Oryctolagus cuniculus: one gene and its partners. The protein of the gene in region 3 purifies or fractionates together with the protein of the main gene of each other region. This does not show direct contact. Links are inferred from orthologs where the notes say so. Each region holds a gene or a part of one and is shown on either strand. Other genes may lie near its edges.

Region 1 (4,777 bases), on a different chromosome or scaffold from region 3:
CCCGGCCACAGCCGCGACTGCTGCAGGGGAGAGAGCTGCACGCCCAAGGTCACGCCCAGCACTAACCCAGCCTGGAGCAGCCTGTTTTGCCCAACTCCAGCCATGCCTGCTCTTCCACATGGACCAGCCTGGGCTTGGGAGCAGAGAATTCCCCCAACAATACTCCAGCACACACCCCCAGTGTCTGGAACCCTAGGGCTCACCGTGATGGCGTGTTGGGGTTATTGGGGTCCCAGGCCCCACTCTGGGCAGGAGTGCGGCTGCCATCATGCAGGGGTGTCTGTGAGCCATAATGTGGGGTACGGCTGCCTGGAATTGGGGAGACAACGGCCATCAGTTCCGCCCGGCCTCCGGTTCCCCCAGCCACCCCTCCCCCATCCCCTGGGAGGGCTCACCATCCTGCAGCGGCGTCTGAGAGCCGTACATGGGTGTGCGGGAGCCAGAGCCATACATAGGCGTCTGGGAGCCGTACATGGGTGTCCGCCCATAGGTTGAGGTCATGCCACCAGGGCGCTGTGAGCCACTGTGAACAAAGAACAAGGGGGTGAGGAGGACCCTCTCAATGCCCACCACACCACCAGGGCCCTCCCTCAGCTGGGCCCATACACTGTGGTAAGCCGCTGACGGTCCACAGAGATGGTCTGGCAGGTGGAATGCAGCTCCACGCGGGCCGTGGATTCTGTGGCATCCTTCACCACGCCGATGTAGCCTGGTGGGAGGTGGGGGGTCAGGCCAGGTGGGGCGCTCGTGCACAGCGCCCTCCCCGGGCCTCCACACGGTCTCACAGGTCACCTTTGTAGGGCCCCTGGGAGATGCGCACAGTCTGGCCGATGAGCTCATTGTCTCTCCTGCCCCGGCCTCTGCTCATGCCGCCACCTGGGCTACCAAAGTCACCACGCTGACCTGCGGAGGGAGGAGAACATCACCAGTCCCCCAGGGCCGTACCCCCTTCACGTGCTGGGCCCACAGCCAGGGCACCCGCAAACCCTCTTCCCCTGCTTGTCTCCCCCCTAGTTGGGTTGGGAGCCTCCTCTGCCCCAACCCCTGGGCCTTCCCATCACAGCCCTGACCACTCTGCTGTCACTGTGGGGTTGGGCTCGTCTTCCCCCGAGCTCTGAGCCCTACAGGCAGGGCCTGGCCCAGAGCAGGTGCTCAGGGAGAATGGGCTCTCCTCCAGCCCCTCCCCACCACCCGACACATCCCTGGCTTCTGACCCCTCTCACCTCCAGCGCTGGGATGCATGGGGCTGCTGATCCGGGGGCTCATAGGGGCAAAGCCACCCACGGTGAAGTTGGTCATATCTCGGGGCTAGGGGAGGGGCAAGGAGTGAACCTGACAGGCAGGGGATGGGGGTGGCAGGGCCTGGGCAACAGGCCGCAGCCCCTACACCGCATCGACCGCCTCCATGTGGAGACAGTCCCTGCGTCACCTGCCCAGCAGCCATCCCTCCCTCCTTCAGGGGAACGGCTGGCCCGCTGCCACCCTGGGCCTGTCAATCAACAGCCCCCGGCCTCCTAGGCCAAGGAGCAGGACTGAAACATGACAAGTCAGGAATTAAGTCCCTAGCGACACAAAAGCCGCAAGCCGTGAACGTTCATCATCCCATCTGCGGGCCCCCGGAGTCCACCTTCTGGGCCCAGCTACTGAGACCCCAGGCCTGACTTCCCTGCCGACGCCCGGTCTGTACACTTTTCTGCAAGTCCCATCCGGGACCTCGGCACGTGCTGTTCCCCAAGCTGTCCGCTGCCCTCCACACCTTCCTTCAGTCTCTGCGCAAAGGCCGCACCTGCGGAGGCCTTCCTTCCCCTCCTCTCGGAGCAGCCCCTCCTTTCTCCATCTCTCCCCGTCTGAAATCCCCTCGCGGCCTTGCCAGCACCCCACAGGACACGTACGCTCTCCTTCTGCTCGGCTCCAGGAAGGCCAGGTTGGGTCTTGCTCTATCTCATGTCTGGCACCCAACAGGGGTTCAAAAAATAAAACTGAACGACGGAGTGAGCGGGGGAGCTGCTCAGAATCCCACACTCGCCAAGGACCTGCCACTGCCACCTGCTCTCTCCTAATCCCCCACAATCCAATCTCCTCCCACCTAGAGCCAGAGGAGGCTGGAGAGCTGAGCCAGGCCGCCACAGACGGGGTCACCACACCAGCCTCACCTTCGAGCCCCCGGCCAGCACCAGGTGCCGGGTCTTGCAGACAAACATGCCTCCATTCTCCACCAACTTCTTGCAATGCAGGAAGGCGAAGATGTGGAAGATATAGCGAATCTCGCCCTCGCGGCCCTAGGAGGCAGAAGGGTCACTCTCCTGCCTGCCCCGCCTTGCCCCCGACTTCCCAGTGGGCTCAAGGGCAGGGTCTGCACTCACTGAGTGGGGGCCATCGATGACCTTGACGATGTCTTTCACGTGGATGTTGTTCTGTTCTGAGTCCAGGGACTCAGCAAAGCGGTTGTCCTTCTTCCGGGTCACAGCTTGATGCCTGACGGTCACCACCTTCCCGTACATGTTCAGCACCTACGGAGGGACACGGAGGGTGGCAGGGAGTGAGGGAGAGATGGGACACGCAGGGAGTACAACAACCTCAGACCTTCTCATGGAATGAACACAGATGCTGCTATTATCCCCATCGTCCAAGAGTGAAACTGAGGCAAAGAAATACCTGCCACCTGCTCACTGTCACAAAGCCACAAGTGACAGGGCCAGGCCTGCAACTCAGAGGGCGCTGGGTTCGTAGCCACTGTGCTTGGCCACCACCCGCCCCTACCCCCAGGACAAGGGGCTCAAGGGAAAGGAAGCTCCCACCGCAGAGAACTGGGCACACACCTGGAAGGTCTCCCGCTCCAGCCGCACGATGACGCCCACAGTCTGGGGGTCCAGCTGCACCATCTCACCCCATTCGTGCTGGCCCCCAACATCCACACCTGACGCAGTCTCTGAGCAGAGCTGCAGATCCCGGGGCAGCACCTTCAGCTGTGGGGGAGAGGGTGAAGGTGTGAGCAGGGTCTGGTTTTCTGGTCTACCCGGGTCTCCTCTAGGCACGTGCCCCAACCAGGCCTCCCGTGCACCCACCTCGTGCATGGTGAGGTCGGAAAAGAGGATGACGAAGTTCTCCTCCACCCGCACAATGAGGCCTGTGTCGCCCTCAAAGCGGCCAGCGATCACCTTCACGTGGTCCCCCATCTTGAAGTATTTCCGGAGTTCCTGGGCCGGGAACTCCAGCATGTCCTGGGGAAATGGGTGCAGGGACACTCAGGTGGGGGGCGGCACCACACCCACCCACCCCCCCCATCCTCAGAAGCCACTCATTTACTCGGGAGACCGGCTCAAACCTGCTCCCTGAGGCCACCTGGAGAGCTCTCAGACCAACACAGCGGCCCCCACACACACCTTTACCCACAAAGAAAGACGAGACACACGATGTGTCCCCCAGAGACGGCTGACCCTCAAACACATGACACACCAGACAGCCCACCCAACAACCAACACAACCCACATCACCCCAACACGTACATACCCGCTCAGAGCAATCTGATTTGTCACATACTCAACCTGATACATTCCCAGATACCCTACTTTTTATACTTCTTTTTAAAAAGATTGACTTTAAAATAATGTTTATTTCTTTTTGTTCACAGAGCAACAGAGAGAGAACTTATACCCACTGGCTCACTCCCTAATGCCCCAACAGTTGGGGCTGGGCCAGACTAAAGCCAAGAGCCCAGGAACTCCGTCTAGGTCTCCCATGTGGGTGGCAGGGGCCAAGCATTTGAGCCATCAAATGCTGCCTCCCAGGTGCATCAGCAGGAAGCGGGATCAGAAGCAGACGAGCTACTCTGATACACAATGTGGCCATCCCAAGTGGCGGCTTAGCCAGCTGAGCCATTAACACCTGCTGACCCACCCCTTAAACCACACATCCTCCTTCAAATGGCCACATGCAGGCAGGACACACACAGTCCTTCCCTTACGCCCCAGGAGAGAAACACAGCACACACACCCCATGTACACAGCCAGGCCTCCACATACAAACAGTCCAGCAGTTCCCCGGAGACCAGAAGCCACAGGCCAGGACCACAGAAACTAACCATTATTTCATCCCAATCACAAAAGCAGGTCTGCACTGACCCCACCCAAGTGCACATGTTACGACCTCACCAAACACTTGAAGGCACTGGAAAGTGCTAGAAAGGTCTGGATGTGCCCTACAACACTGACAGACGTCCCTGCCCGGAACTCCAGTCCCTGCCTCTCGGCTGAGTGAGCAGAGGGACCCGGGACCCACCTTGAGGTCCTCGTGCTTGGGCATGATGGTGACCTTGTTGCCGTCCACGCTGAGGATCTTGCCCTGCAGGTTGATGAGCTCCCCCTCACACACCTCCACGTTGTCCCCAGGCTGTAAGTTGTGCTCTCGCTCCTTCCCTGCGGGGGCAGCCAGAAGGCTGAGGTGGGGGCTGCCCCTGCCGGGCCGCCCACTCCCTCTGGGCCTGAGCCACGGACGGGGACCAGATACCTGTGCTCTCAGTCACCACCTCCAGGTCGATGCCCTCCGGCTGGTCCTCAAACTTCTCCAGCTCAGAGAGTGTGGGCTTCACACCCTCTGTGATCTGAGCGCCCAGGGGCAAGCAAGGGCGTGGGGAGGAAGGGACCGAGGTCAGTGCCAGCACCCAGCTGCCGGGCATCACCCCTGGATCACTCCTGACCCAAGCAACATCAAGCACAGACCTGGACAGCACACTGCCCGGGACATGGTCTGCAAGAGGAGCGCGAGCTGGACCTTCCCG
Region 2 (5,486 bases), on a different chromosome or scaffold from region 3:
AAAACAACTTATATTTTGATTCCATTTCTCACGAACATTTTGAAGTATCCTCATAGACCCAATATTAAAAAAATTAAAACTATCTAGCCTCTATGTTCATGTCGAGGCTGTAGACAGTTACTAAGTAAGCAGGACAGTAGCAGAAACGCCTTGAAGCTTCAAAGTAAGCCCCAGCAGGTGGGCCCTGTGGTACAGCTGTGTACCAGTACAGATGTGTACAGTACATCCACACTGGAGCGCAGGTTCAAGTCTGGGCTGCTCCACAGCAGATCCAACTTCCCGCTAATGCACCTAAGAAGGCAGCAGATGACAGCCTAAACACGTGGGCTTCTGCCACCCACGAGAAAGATCCAGGTGGAGTTCCAGTCTCCTGGCTTCAGCCTGGCTCAGATCTGGCTGTCCCGGCCATTGGGGGAGTAAACCAGCGGACACAAGATCTATCTTGCCCTGTCACTCTGTCTGCCTTCCAAATAAATAAATAAATCATTTTTTAAAGATTTATTTGAAAGGCAGAGCTACAGAGAGGCAGAGGCAGAGAAAGAGAGAAAGGTCTTTCATCCGCTGGTTCATTCCCCAAATGGCTGCAACGACCAGAGCTGGGCCTATGTGAAGGCTAGAGCTTTTTCCAGTCTCCCACATGGATGCAGGGGCCCAAGGACTTGGGCCATCTCCTACCGCTTTCCCAGGCCATAGCAGAGAGTGGGATTGGAAGTAGAGCAGCTGGCACTGCATGCAGCGGCTTTATCTGCTATGCCACAGCGCTGACCCCAATAAATCATTTTTATAAAGAAAAAAAAGGAAGACCTGAGTGAAGAACCAGAGCATACGCTGTCAATGAAGTAAGCTTTAGACAAGTTAGTTAGCTTTCTTGAGAGTATCTATATATAAATGTAAAAAAATTGTTACCTCCACCTTTTTCACAGGTATGCACCTACCCAGCAATGAGCAATTTCTCACTAAATTAGCTGAACTGTGAAATAACAGCCTATTTATAATATGGGTAATTAACACATCACAAAAGTTAATTAATTTTACAGGCTACAAGTATTTTGCAAGTGTTAAGAATCTTATTTTTCTTACATTAAAGAAATCTGAAGAGTCTAAAGAATCTGGTGGAAAAAAGTAATGCTAAGTTAGCACTTACATCGTCAATCCCTCTGATTTGAAAAGACTAAAAAAATAAATAAAGGAAAAACTTAAACAACCAGGTCCAGCCCAAGAATGGAAAAGCTCAATAATCTTACGTTTCTATTGGATAAATGACTCACTTTATGGAGAATCAGAAATAGTTTTCATTTTGCTCATCACAATAAAAAGAAAATTCTTAATTATCCTATAAACCTAGAGAGATAAACTGTAATTTTAAGTATCTTCAGGCTAAAAATTATTTTCATTTTCTTTCAACTAAACCTTCAGGCTAAAAATAAAGCAGAAAAAATAAGCAGACAGCAATACAGGAACTTAAAAATCACTAGTTTCAAGGGACAGGCTAGATTTTCACTCAAACCCAGAACACACTCAATTTGACCACTAACCTCGTCTCTGAACTAGCTCTGTGGTCCTGTTCCTGAATGTCTAAGCCCCGGCTTCCCGATTTGTAAAACACAGCTAACAACACAGGACTGTGGGAACTACGTAAGTCAGTGCACATCAGCTGCTTACAGCGTCTCTGGCACACAGAAGCATTCAATACATTCTGACTATTTCTATTCGGAGTTTTTCTGTCAGAAAAAAGTGTTAATCATCAAACTAAATAGTATTTGCAACAATGTCACACAAATATCTTGGAATCTAAGTCCATTCTTAGGATAGTTTTCCTTATAACTTAAATCTGAAAGGGCACATTAGTAATGGAGTTCAGTTCAGTCCCCCTTTCCTTGTTAGATAAGATCAAAGCCATTTTGTGTCAGCATCCACCCTGCTTCACTTCAGAGTCCTCTCCCTTCCAAATGGAGGAAGGCAGATGAGGGACTATTTCCAAAATGGTAAAAATGTAAGGGGGGATAACAGATTTTTTTTTGAAATAAGGTTGTATGGATTATTTTTAATAGCATATTTCAAATTGAGCTCAAATTTACATATCTCTTCATCTAAAAAGAAGCTAAATGAACCTAAGCCGATGTTTTCCAATTCACTGTGTAAAAAAGTTTCCCAAATGTGCAAGGATGTAAAAGGTAGGGTAGGACAGAAGGGACGGCCCCCACAGGAGGACAAAAGCACACCAACTCTAGACACTCAGCTTCTATTTTAAGGCAAATAACAACTCCATCTCACAAAAATATACCCAATTTCTAAAGCTTTGAAGCCCCCCCCCCCAAATTATTTGTCTCCAGTTACCAGAGACAGCCTGATAATCTGGTAAACATACTCCAAATCACCATTTTCAATACAAACTGAACATCTATTTCCTCGAGTCTTCCATTACAGAATATCTAGTCTCGTCTGTTTTCCATGGAATTGGAGTTCGGTGTAGAATTCAAATGAGGACAATTCCTTGAAATCGGTTTGTAGTAATTCAGATAGGGAAGGACTACAATCAAAACCAAGCAGCACAGTTAGGGGCTGTAAAGTTACCAGCCAATGTAACAAGATAGGTGAGAAAGAGCTTCTTTCACTTTAGAAACGGCCTGGAAACAGTTTCACCCAACCTGAACATCTTTAAGTGAACTTCACAGAACGCCGGGAGGGAAAGAGGCAACCCCCGCACAGATTAAGTCTTAAAAGGCGAAGCCTCCCTAGTTCAAACACCGCGGTCTTTGGACCTTGAGGGCTGCTTCCGGCAGACGCTAAAGGTTTTCACAGGACCTGCCAACTTCCCCCCACCTGTTAACCGAACCGAACCGTGAACACGCACTGAAGCAACCCAAAAGCCAGCAAGGAAAGCCATCCCGAACTTGCAGGACATTTGCACAGTGAGACGACAAACACACGCTGCCTCGCTGTGGCCAAGAACCACGCTGGGCACACGGGGCTCCCCTGGCCAGGGCAAAGCGGCCGTTCTCTGCCGAGGGCAGGGCTGCCAACCCGCACCGGGACCTGAAACACACGGCCGAAGCCAGACAAAACGAACACCCACAAACCAGCAAAAACCCACGCGAAATGTCCTTCCACGAGGGGCACGGCCAAGACCTCGCTAAGCTCCCCGCAAAGTTCCACGCCTCCTTTACAGATGGGTGAACTAAGGCAGGAGATGGGAGTAACCGGCGCCTTTCTCAAGGTCACTCGGGTGCGAAGAGCAGCGCGCTCCGGGCTCCCGATCCCGGGCCCCCGGCCTCGCCAGCGCCCGGCCCCCGAGCGCCGGCGGATGCGGCGGGGGCACCCGCGGCCCCCCGAGACCCCGGGCGGCCCCACTCACCGTCGCTCTCGGCCCTGACAAGCAGGGACATGCCCTTCAGCCGCTCCACGTAGCCGGACGACACGTGCCCGGTGCCCCGGTCGTCCCACTGCCGGTCCTCGTTGAGCGTGTAGACCTTCACCCGCCGCCGGGTGTCCGTCATCGTGCCCGCGCCCGGGGCCGGCCCGGGGGCCCCGCCGCAGTCGCCCAGGAAGCGGGTCCCGCAAAGGCGGGCGCCGAGGCGGGAGGGCGCCCGCAAGCCGAGGGCTGCCCGGCCTCACTGCCGCCGCGCCGCCGCCCGCATGTCCCGCCGCCGGGCCCGCGCTCAGGGCCGCCGCCTCGCTTCGCCGCCGGCCGCTCGGCGCTATTGTCCAGGCCCGGCGAGGCCCGGCCGCCCCGGGTGGGGGCGCGCAGCGCTTCGGAGCCTCCCGCCCCGCCGCGGCAGCAACTCGGGGCCCGGTTAACACTGCCCTGCTCCCGCCTGCGCCATGATCTCCGCCAAGCCGCTTCCCGCGCCGCCGCCTCAGGCCGCCGCCGCCATGTTTTCCTTCCTTGTACCTGGCCCCGCCACCGCGGCCGGCGGCTTCGCGCTGCTCCCGCTGTTCCCAGGGGCCGGAGCCGACGGGCGCCCGCCCCCGCCGCGGCGGCTACCAGCGCCCGGCAGGCCCGCGAAGGCCCCCCGGCGTCAGAGCGACTCCGGCCGCTGCAAGCCGCTCGCCCAGCGCCGCTGCCGCCGCCTCTTCCGTCTTCCTCAGCGAGCCAAAGCCGCCGCCATCTTGGTTCGCCCCTCAAAAGCGGCGCGCGGGGCCACCCAGGCAGCAGCTGCAGGGGCGGCCCGTTGGCCCCACCATTTAAAGAGACAGCAGCGAGGCGGGCGCCTCGGCGGGGCGGCGGCCTCGGCCGGAGGCGGGCGGCGGGCGGCGAGCTGCCGGGCCGGCGGGAGCGCCGGGAGCGGAGGAGGTGGGGACGCTGGTGGCGCCGGCGACGGCCCGGGGCTCCCTCGCGCTTCCCTGCACGCACCGTCGTGCGAGCGCGGGGCGGCGTGTGCGTCCGTCGCGCCCTGTGTTCGTCATCAGCCCGGGCTCCGGGACTCGGAAGGGGCGTGGAGGCCGCGGGGCCGCCTGCGGCCTGCGCGAGAGCTCCGCCGGCCGCCTCGGGAGACGCCCCGCGCCCGCGGGACCTGCCCGGGGCGGGGATGGAGGCCGTTGGCCTGCGGGCTGCAGCTGCGGCGTTTCGGGGCGAGGCCGCAGGTCCGGGCGGGGCGCGCCCGGGGCCTGCGGGCGGTTTTGCTGGGCCCGGACGGAGCCCCGATGACGCTTTCGAGAGCTCCCTTCGCAGGCCGTTCCCGTGCCCCGGGGTCAGAACTGGCATTTGCCAGCCCTCGGCGTTGCCAGAACCCCGGGGGCGTAGCCACGGGCGCCAGCGCCTGCTCTCCGCGTGCCTGTCGTGCCAGTCTCGGCCACCTTCTGGGGGGTCTCGCCCTTCGCCGGGCCCCCTGGATGCGCCCTGTCCGCTAGCAACCACCGAGCCGCATATTATAATTTCAATTTTGATACTAACCGCTTTTTTTTTTTTAAAGGTACGAAGAAACCGATTTTTAAAGAAATATTCTGTTGTATTTTCAAAAGTATTCAGCCATCAATATAAAATTATTAACGAGACGCATTGCATTCCTACGTCCCATGTCTTCAAAATGTGCTGTGTCTTTTAGCCTCTACTTGGACGCTGGGTGTTCGTCGGAACCCTACCTGTCCAGGTGTCATTAAGTTGACAAGTGAAAAAGTAGGGTCACATCCTAAGCTTTTAAATTCAGTTTTCAAAGTGGACTCAATGAAGATGAAGGAAAATGCAGTTCGGGTCCTCAGCCCACCTAGTCACCTTTGGAAGGCTCAGTGGCCCTGGGCGGGGGTCGCGGGTCCAGCAGGTGCAGGTGCGGGAGCCCCGCGTGACCAGGACCCTGGCCTCAGCCTTGCAGTGTCCTCTGCTCCACCCACGAATTCAGAAACAGGCACGTGGCAACCCTAGGCCGACAGGTTTCCAGGATGCCAGACTTTTTTTTTTTTTTTTTTTTTAAGGTTTATTCCTTACAGAGAGAAGAGAAAGGGAGAGAGATCTTCCACCTGTTGGTTCACTCCCCAAATGGCCACAACGG
Region 3 (5,544 bases):
ATTTAAAAAAAGAGTCTAACCTTAGAGGTCAAAATATTCCAATACAATAAAAAGAAAACAAAAAAAAACTATCCCAGCCAGCGCCGCGGCTCACTAGGCTAATCCTCCGCCTTGCGGCGCCGGCACACCGGGTTCTAGTCCCGGTCAGGGCGCCGGATTCTGTCCCGGTTGCCCCTCTTCCAGGCCAGCTCTCTGCTGTGGCCAGGGAGTGCAGTGGAGGATGACCCAGGTGCTTGGGCCCTGCACCCCATGGCAGACCAGGAGAAGCACCTGGCTCCTGGCTCCTGCCATCGGATCAGCGCGGTGCGCCGGCCGCAGCGCGCCGGCCGCGGCGGCCATTGGAGGGTGAACCAACGGCAAAGGAAGACCTTTCTCTCTGTCTCTCTCTCTCACTGTCCACTCTGCCTGTCAAAATAAATAAATAAATAAATAATTAAAAAAATTAAAAAAAAAACTATCCCAGACCCTCTTCATTACCAGCACAGTAGGATTTTTTTAAAGATTTATTTATTCATTTAAGAGGCAGAATTACTGACAGAGAGAGGGAGAAACAGCAAGAACTTCCATCCACTGGTTCACTCTCCAAATGGCTGCAATAACCAGGACTGGGCCAGGCCAAAGCCAGGAGCCAGAAGATTCTTCCAGTCGCCCACACTGGTGCAGGGGCCCAAGCACTTGAGTCATCTTCCACTGCTTTTGCAGAGTAGGATTTTTAATAAGGCACCCAACTCCCTTTCTCGGAGAGATATAAACTGTCTGGATCAAAGCACCTTACTCACTACTACCAGTCCTCCAACTAGTGCCACTTTTGTCCTATGTTTCTAACTAAAGTCAGTATTCTGATTGCCACAGCCAAGTTGTGAGTCTTTTATTAAAACTCTGTTTTAGAAGCCAGCATTGCAGCATAGTGAGTAAAGCCACCAGCTGAGACTCCAGGATCACACACGGGTGCTGGTTCCCAGCTGCTCCACTTCCTATCTAGCTCCCTGATAATGGCCTGGGAAAAAGCAGCGGAGGATGGCCCCAATGCTTGGGCCCCTGCCCACCCACGTGGATGAGCCAGGTAAGTCTCCTGGCTCCTAGCTTTGTCCTGGCCCACTCCTGGCCATTGTGGCCACCTGGGGAGTAAGCTAGCAGATGGAAGATATCTCTTTCTGTCTCTTTCAAAAATAAATAATTAAATCATTAAAAAAAAAAAAAAAAAAAACTCTGTTTTAAAATTCCATGAAAAAAATAATTTGTTTCCAGATCAGGATCAAGAGCATTATCTGGGAACTAATGAAAAATGAAAATTCTAAGGGTGGATGCCACTGAGGTTTTAATAAGCCTTCCATTTTATTTTGAGATACTCTAAAGTTTGAGCACCACAAATCTGGAGCACACCATCACTAGTTTAGCTCAATTTCCCAAAAAATTTTTTAAAAACTTGACTGGTGGGGTCAGCGTCATGGCCTGGCAGAGTTAAGCAGCCACTCGCAACACCGGCATCCCATATGGGCACCAGATCCAGTCCCAGACCCAGATCCTCCACTTCCAATCCAGCTCCCTGCTAACGTGCCTGGGAAAGCAATGGACAGCCCAAGTGCTTGGGTCCCTGCACCTCAATGGGAGATCCAGATGAGCTCCTGGCTCCTGGCTTCCACAGGGCCCAGCCCTGGCCATTGCGGCCATTTGGGGAATGAAGGCAATGTATGGAAATTCTCTCTCTCTCTGTAACTCTGCCATTCAAATAAATTAAAAAAAAAAAAAAACTCAATTTGATTTGCAAACTGTTTTCTAATTCCAAATATACACTAAGAGTTGCTTAGATCATCTTCAATATCACTTTTATCCATTGTTTGTATGCTTCATTGATGATTTTACACAAAATGCAAAAATCTGACAAACTAGAAGATTCAACAAACCTAAACAAAAAGTGTCTACAGAATCTCCTCCTCAATAATTTGAAATAATTAGGCTCACAATAAATATGTACATAATTAGTAAATACTCTTAGCTACAAAATCTTTTAATTTCATTTCAAAACTAGCTCCTAGAAAAAGCAGTAAGTTGAAGTTAGTTAAAATGTCAAGCTTTCACCCTTCAAAAGAAATTTTAGAGAATGAAAAAGTAAGCCACAGACTGGAGAAAAGGCTTGCAAAAACATACATTCAACAGAGACTGTATAAGGAACTCTAACAACTCAGTGAGATGAGCCCAACTTCAACATCAGCAAAAGATCTGGATACTTCACAGAAGATATGAGTAGTCAAGAGGCACGTGAAAAGACGCTCAACATCAAACCACGTAAAGATCTTACTCCACATCTATCGCAATGGCTACAACTAATACGACTGACCACACCAAGTGTCCTGGACCACGCGAACAAATAAAATGCACTGATGGCAGCAACGGAAAATGGTACTGCCTCGGAAGAGAAGCAGGAGTTTCTCAGAAAACTATCCGTACACCTATACCTGATCCAGCCATTCCTCTCCTAGAGATTTCCACCCAAATAACTGTGCACGAATGTTCACGGCAAGTCTATCTGTAATAGCTAAAAACTGGAAACAACCCTAAAGACCATCAACAGAAGAACAGAAAGCAAAGTACAGAGTATCCCTAACAAAAGGAATACCACTTAGCAACGAAAAGAAATGAGTTATCAATCCACGCAACAACCTGAAGGAGTCTCTAAACAGCACAGCTGAGAAAAACAGGCCAGACACGCACACCCCAACTATATGCTCCCATACAGTATTTCTAGAATTTAAAAAACTCTAGAAAATGCAAACTAATCTATAGAAAGTAGATGGCTGGTTGCCTAAGAAGGAAGGGATTACCAAGAAACAAGGGGAAACTTTGAGGGGCCATGGTTTCATAGGTGTCTCCTAGAATGTATACGTGCGTATAGTCTCAATTTATCAAACTGTACACTTTAAAGCTTATTATATTTCAAACTCAATAGAGATGAAAAACCCACAATAAAAGTCACTTAACAAAAAACCTCCGTCTTCTCAGCCTCGGTGTCGGTCCGTTTTCCCCACTGGGCGCTACATGCCCTCCTCCTCCTTATCCTTTCTCCCTCCCTAACCCGCCCTGTCTCCTTCCAACGGGAGGGCTGAACCCTAGAAGATTCACAAACTTGTAAGCTTCCAAGTACTGTCTACAGTGTCCTGGGTCCTCCACTCCTGCCGCACAAACCATCCCGTCCGCAACACTTAGCCTTGCAGGCGCAGTGACAAGTAACCCCCATCGACCGACCCACCCCCTCCCGTCCGCGGTCCCAAACACTCATCCACGAAGCTTCTCTCGACCCGGCACATCGGGGTCCTGAAATATCACTGACAGACCCGGGACCACCGAAAGCTGGGCTCCCCGGGCGGCCCACCCCCTGCCCGTGTGGGTGCGGGACCTGGAACACCTCCTGCCCGGGTTACCTGCAACCGGCTGGCCGCGCCGAGGACAGTTCAGCCACCGCGGTGGGATCTTGTTTTGAGCCATGTCTTGGGGCCGCGCAGAGCCGCTCGGCTTCACCAACACTCGCCGCGCCTCTGCCGCCGCCTCCTCGAGGTCTGGTGCCCACCAGAGGTCCGCGGCACCCGAACACCGCCTGGGATCCGAACGCCAGCCGCTCCTAGCCGGATAACATCAGGGGCGGCGCGCCACTTTCATTCAGGCTCAACTCCGCCGCTCTATCCGAACCCACAATGCACCGCGACTTCCGCCCCCTAAAGTCCCCGCCCCCTTCTTTCCGAGGTCAAAGGGGAAAGAAAGGAAACTCGGCGGAGGGATGGCAAGGAGTTAAAGCCAAGGCGAATGGGTGGAGCGGGGCTACCTTCGCCCCGCCCCTCCGAGCTGCGAAGCGTGAGCAGACCGCCTCTGCGCGTGCGCAGTCATCCCGGTCCCGTACCGGGGTGAGGGACCTGTATAGTATTTTCTTTTCCCACGTAGATGACTAAAAACAATCCCACACACTAGAAGGACAGCAAGCTTTTTTTCATGATTTCATTGACCTGTAGCTTTCATAAAGGCATTAATTGTACTGATGAAAAAGGCCTCTCTCCACTGTCACAGCTCAAGTTTTGTGTCCCGCCCGGATCTGGGTTTGATGGGAAGATTCCCCTTAATGCGAATCAGAGGAACAAGTACCAGAGAAAGCTCTTGGCTCCTGGCTTCAGATGGCCCAGCTCCGGCCATTGTGGCCATTTAGGGAATGAACCAGCAGGTGGAACACCTCTCTCTGTGTCTCTTCCTCTGTCTGTAACTCTGCCTCTCAAGTAAATAAATACATCTTTAAAAAAAAAAAAAGAAAGAAAGAAAGAAAAAAGAATCAGTGGAGAATTTTCTGGGCAGCTTAGCTCTTCAATACCTGGACCACCTCAGTGGAAGAAGGATTCTCCCACAATTAAAGAGAACCCAGTGACTTTCTGAGGCTGGCTGAGTTAGATCACGCGCCTGGTCTGTCCAACTGAGATCGGCTCAGACTTTTTAGCAAAGGTATATCATTCCTCCCTGCTATAAGTCAAATATGATTTTATCTGCAAACTCATGCGAATTAGTTCCCAAAGTTATATGTGAATGATCTGAAAGGAATGGAAATGTAATGTGGTCAGGATACATAGAGGTAGGGTCTCATCTCTGGGAAGAGATTAGATTGTTTTAGGTAATTAAGGTGTAGCCTCTATGAATCCTGGTGGAAAAGACGGTGTAGAGCATGCAAGCTGCCCATTTATTGCCATGTAATATCCTGTGCCAACTCAGAATTCTGCAAAGAACACGGTCACCAGAGGCTGTACCAATGGGAGTTGCCTAGTCTTGAACTGTGAATCTTCAGGGCCATGATCCAAAATAAACCTCCTTTCTTTATAAAGCAGCCGGCCTCAGGTATTTCCTGTTGGTAGCCAAAACATGACAAATATGGGTCTCCCTTCTGGAGACAACTCCCCTGGGAAGCTTTCCTTCTCCCATACACTGTGTCCACCCGGGAAGCTCTTGCCTAGACAGAGAGCTGCAAACCACTTCTGAGCAGCTGCTATTGGCTCTGTTGTTGCAACAGTGTTTGCTCAATTTGTACTCCACTGTCCATTATCCCCTCTCCACCCTCACTATCACAGATTGGTAGGACACTGTGGCTCCCATTTGCCCAGCCACAGTGCAGAGTAGGGTGGGAGCATTGCATCCAAGTGAGTGAACAGTTTCTCTCTCCTTTGCCTGGTAGGTGTTTCTACCTATCTTGCTCCTACTCCCAGGTCTCTGCTATTCAGCAAAAAAATAGATGACCACTAAAATTTAAAAAAGAATGAAATGTCCATGTGTATCAATTTTACTGCAAATACAGTGTTTTGTTTTAAAACTTTGTTTTAAATCTTTGTCAAACAAATTGATGGGAATTATATGCTACTGCAGCTTTAATAATTTTGTGACTATTTTAAAATTATGAGTGGAGGGGTCAGCGCTGTGGTATGGCAGGTTAAAGCCCCAGACTGCAGCAACAGCATCCCATATGGGAGTCTGTTCAAGTCCCAGCTGCTCCACTTCAGATCCAGCTCCCTGCCAATGCAC

Evidence for each region.
Region 1: the proteins of RNGTT (region 3) and SUPT5H purify together in Homo sapiens (affinity purification with mass spectrometry; 3 studies listed by BioGRID and IntAct, with this or other methods). This does not show direct contact. The link is inferred for Oryctolagus cuniculus from reciprocal best matches to the Homo sapiens genes RNGTT and SUPT5H.
Region 2: the proteins of RNGTT (region 3) and PPP4R3A purify together in Homo sapiens (affinity purification with mass spectrometry; 3 studies listed by BioGRID and IntAct, with this or other methods). This does not show direct contact. The link is inferred for Oryctolagus cuniculus from reciprocal best matches to the Homo sapiens genes RNGTT and PPP4R3A.

Annotation. Positions count from the first base shown.
Region 1 is NC_091449.1:15,496,773-15,501,549, forward strand, and holds part of SUPT5H (transcription elongation factor SPT5), read right to left. Parts: intron 4,601-4,777; coding exon 4,507-4,600; intron 4,416-4,506; coding exon 4,279-4,415; intron 3,222-4,278; coding exon 3,066-3,221; intron 2,967-3,065; coding exon 2,820-2,966; intron 2,511-2,819; coding exon 2,364-2,510; intron 2,280-2,363; coding exon 2,154-2,279; intron 1,309-2,153; coding exon 1,224-1,308; intron 904-1,223; coding exon 793-903; intron 710-792; coding exon 607-709; intron 524-606; coding exon 396-523; intron 310-395; coding exon 204-309; intron 1-203. UniProt on the Homo sapiens protein: Component of the DRB sensitivity-inducing factor complex (DSIF complex), which regulates mRNA processing and transcription elongation by RNA polymerase II.
Region 2 is NC_091451.1:36,887,383-36,892,868, forward strand, and holds the start of PPP4R3A (serine/threonine-protein phosphatase 4 regulatory subunit 3A), read right to left. Parts: upstream 3,635-5,486; 5' UTR 3,498-3,634; coding exon 3,356-3,497; intron 1-3,355. UniProt on the Homo sapiens protein: Regulatory subunit of serine/threonine-protein phosphatase 4. May regulate the activity of PPP4C at centrosomal microtubule organizing centers.
Region 3 is NC_091436.1:83,493,121-83,498,664, reverse strand, and holds the start of RNGTT (mRNA-capping enzyme), read right to left. Parts: upstream 3,722-5,544; 5' UTR 3,484-3,721; coding exon 3,420-3,483; intron 1-3,419.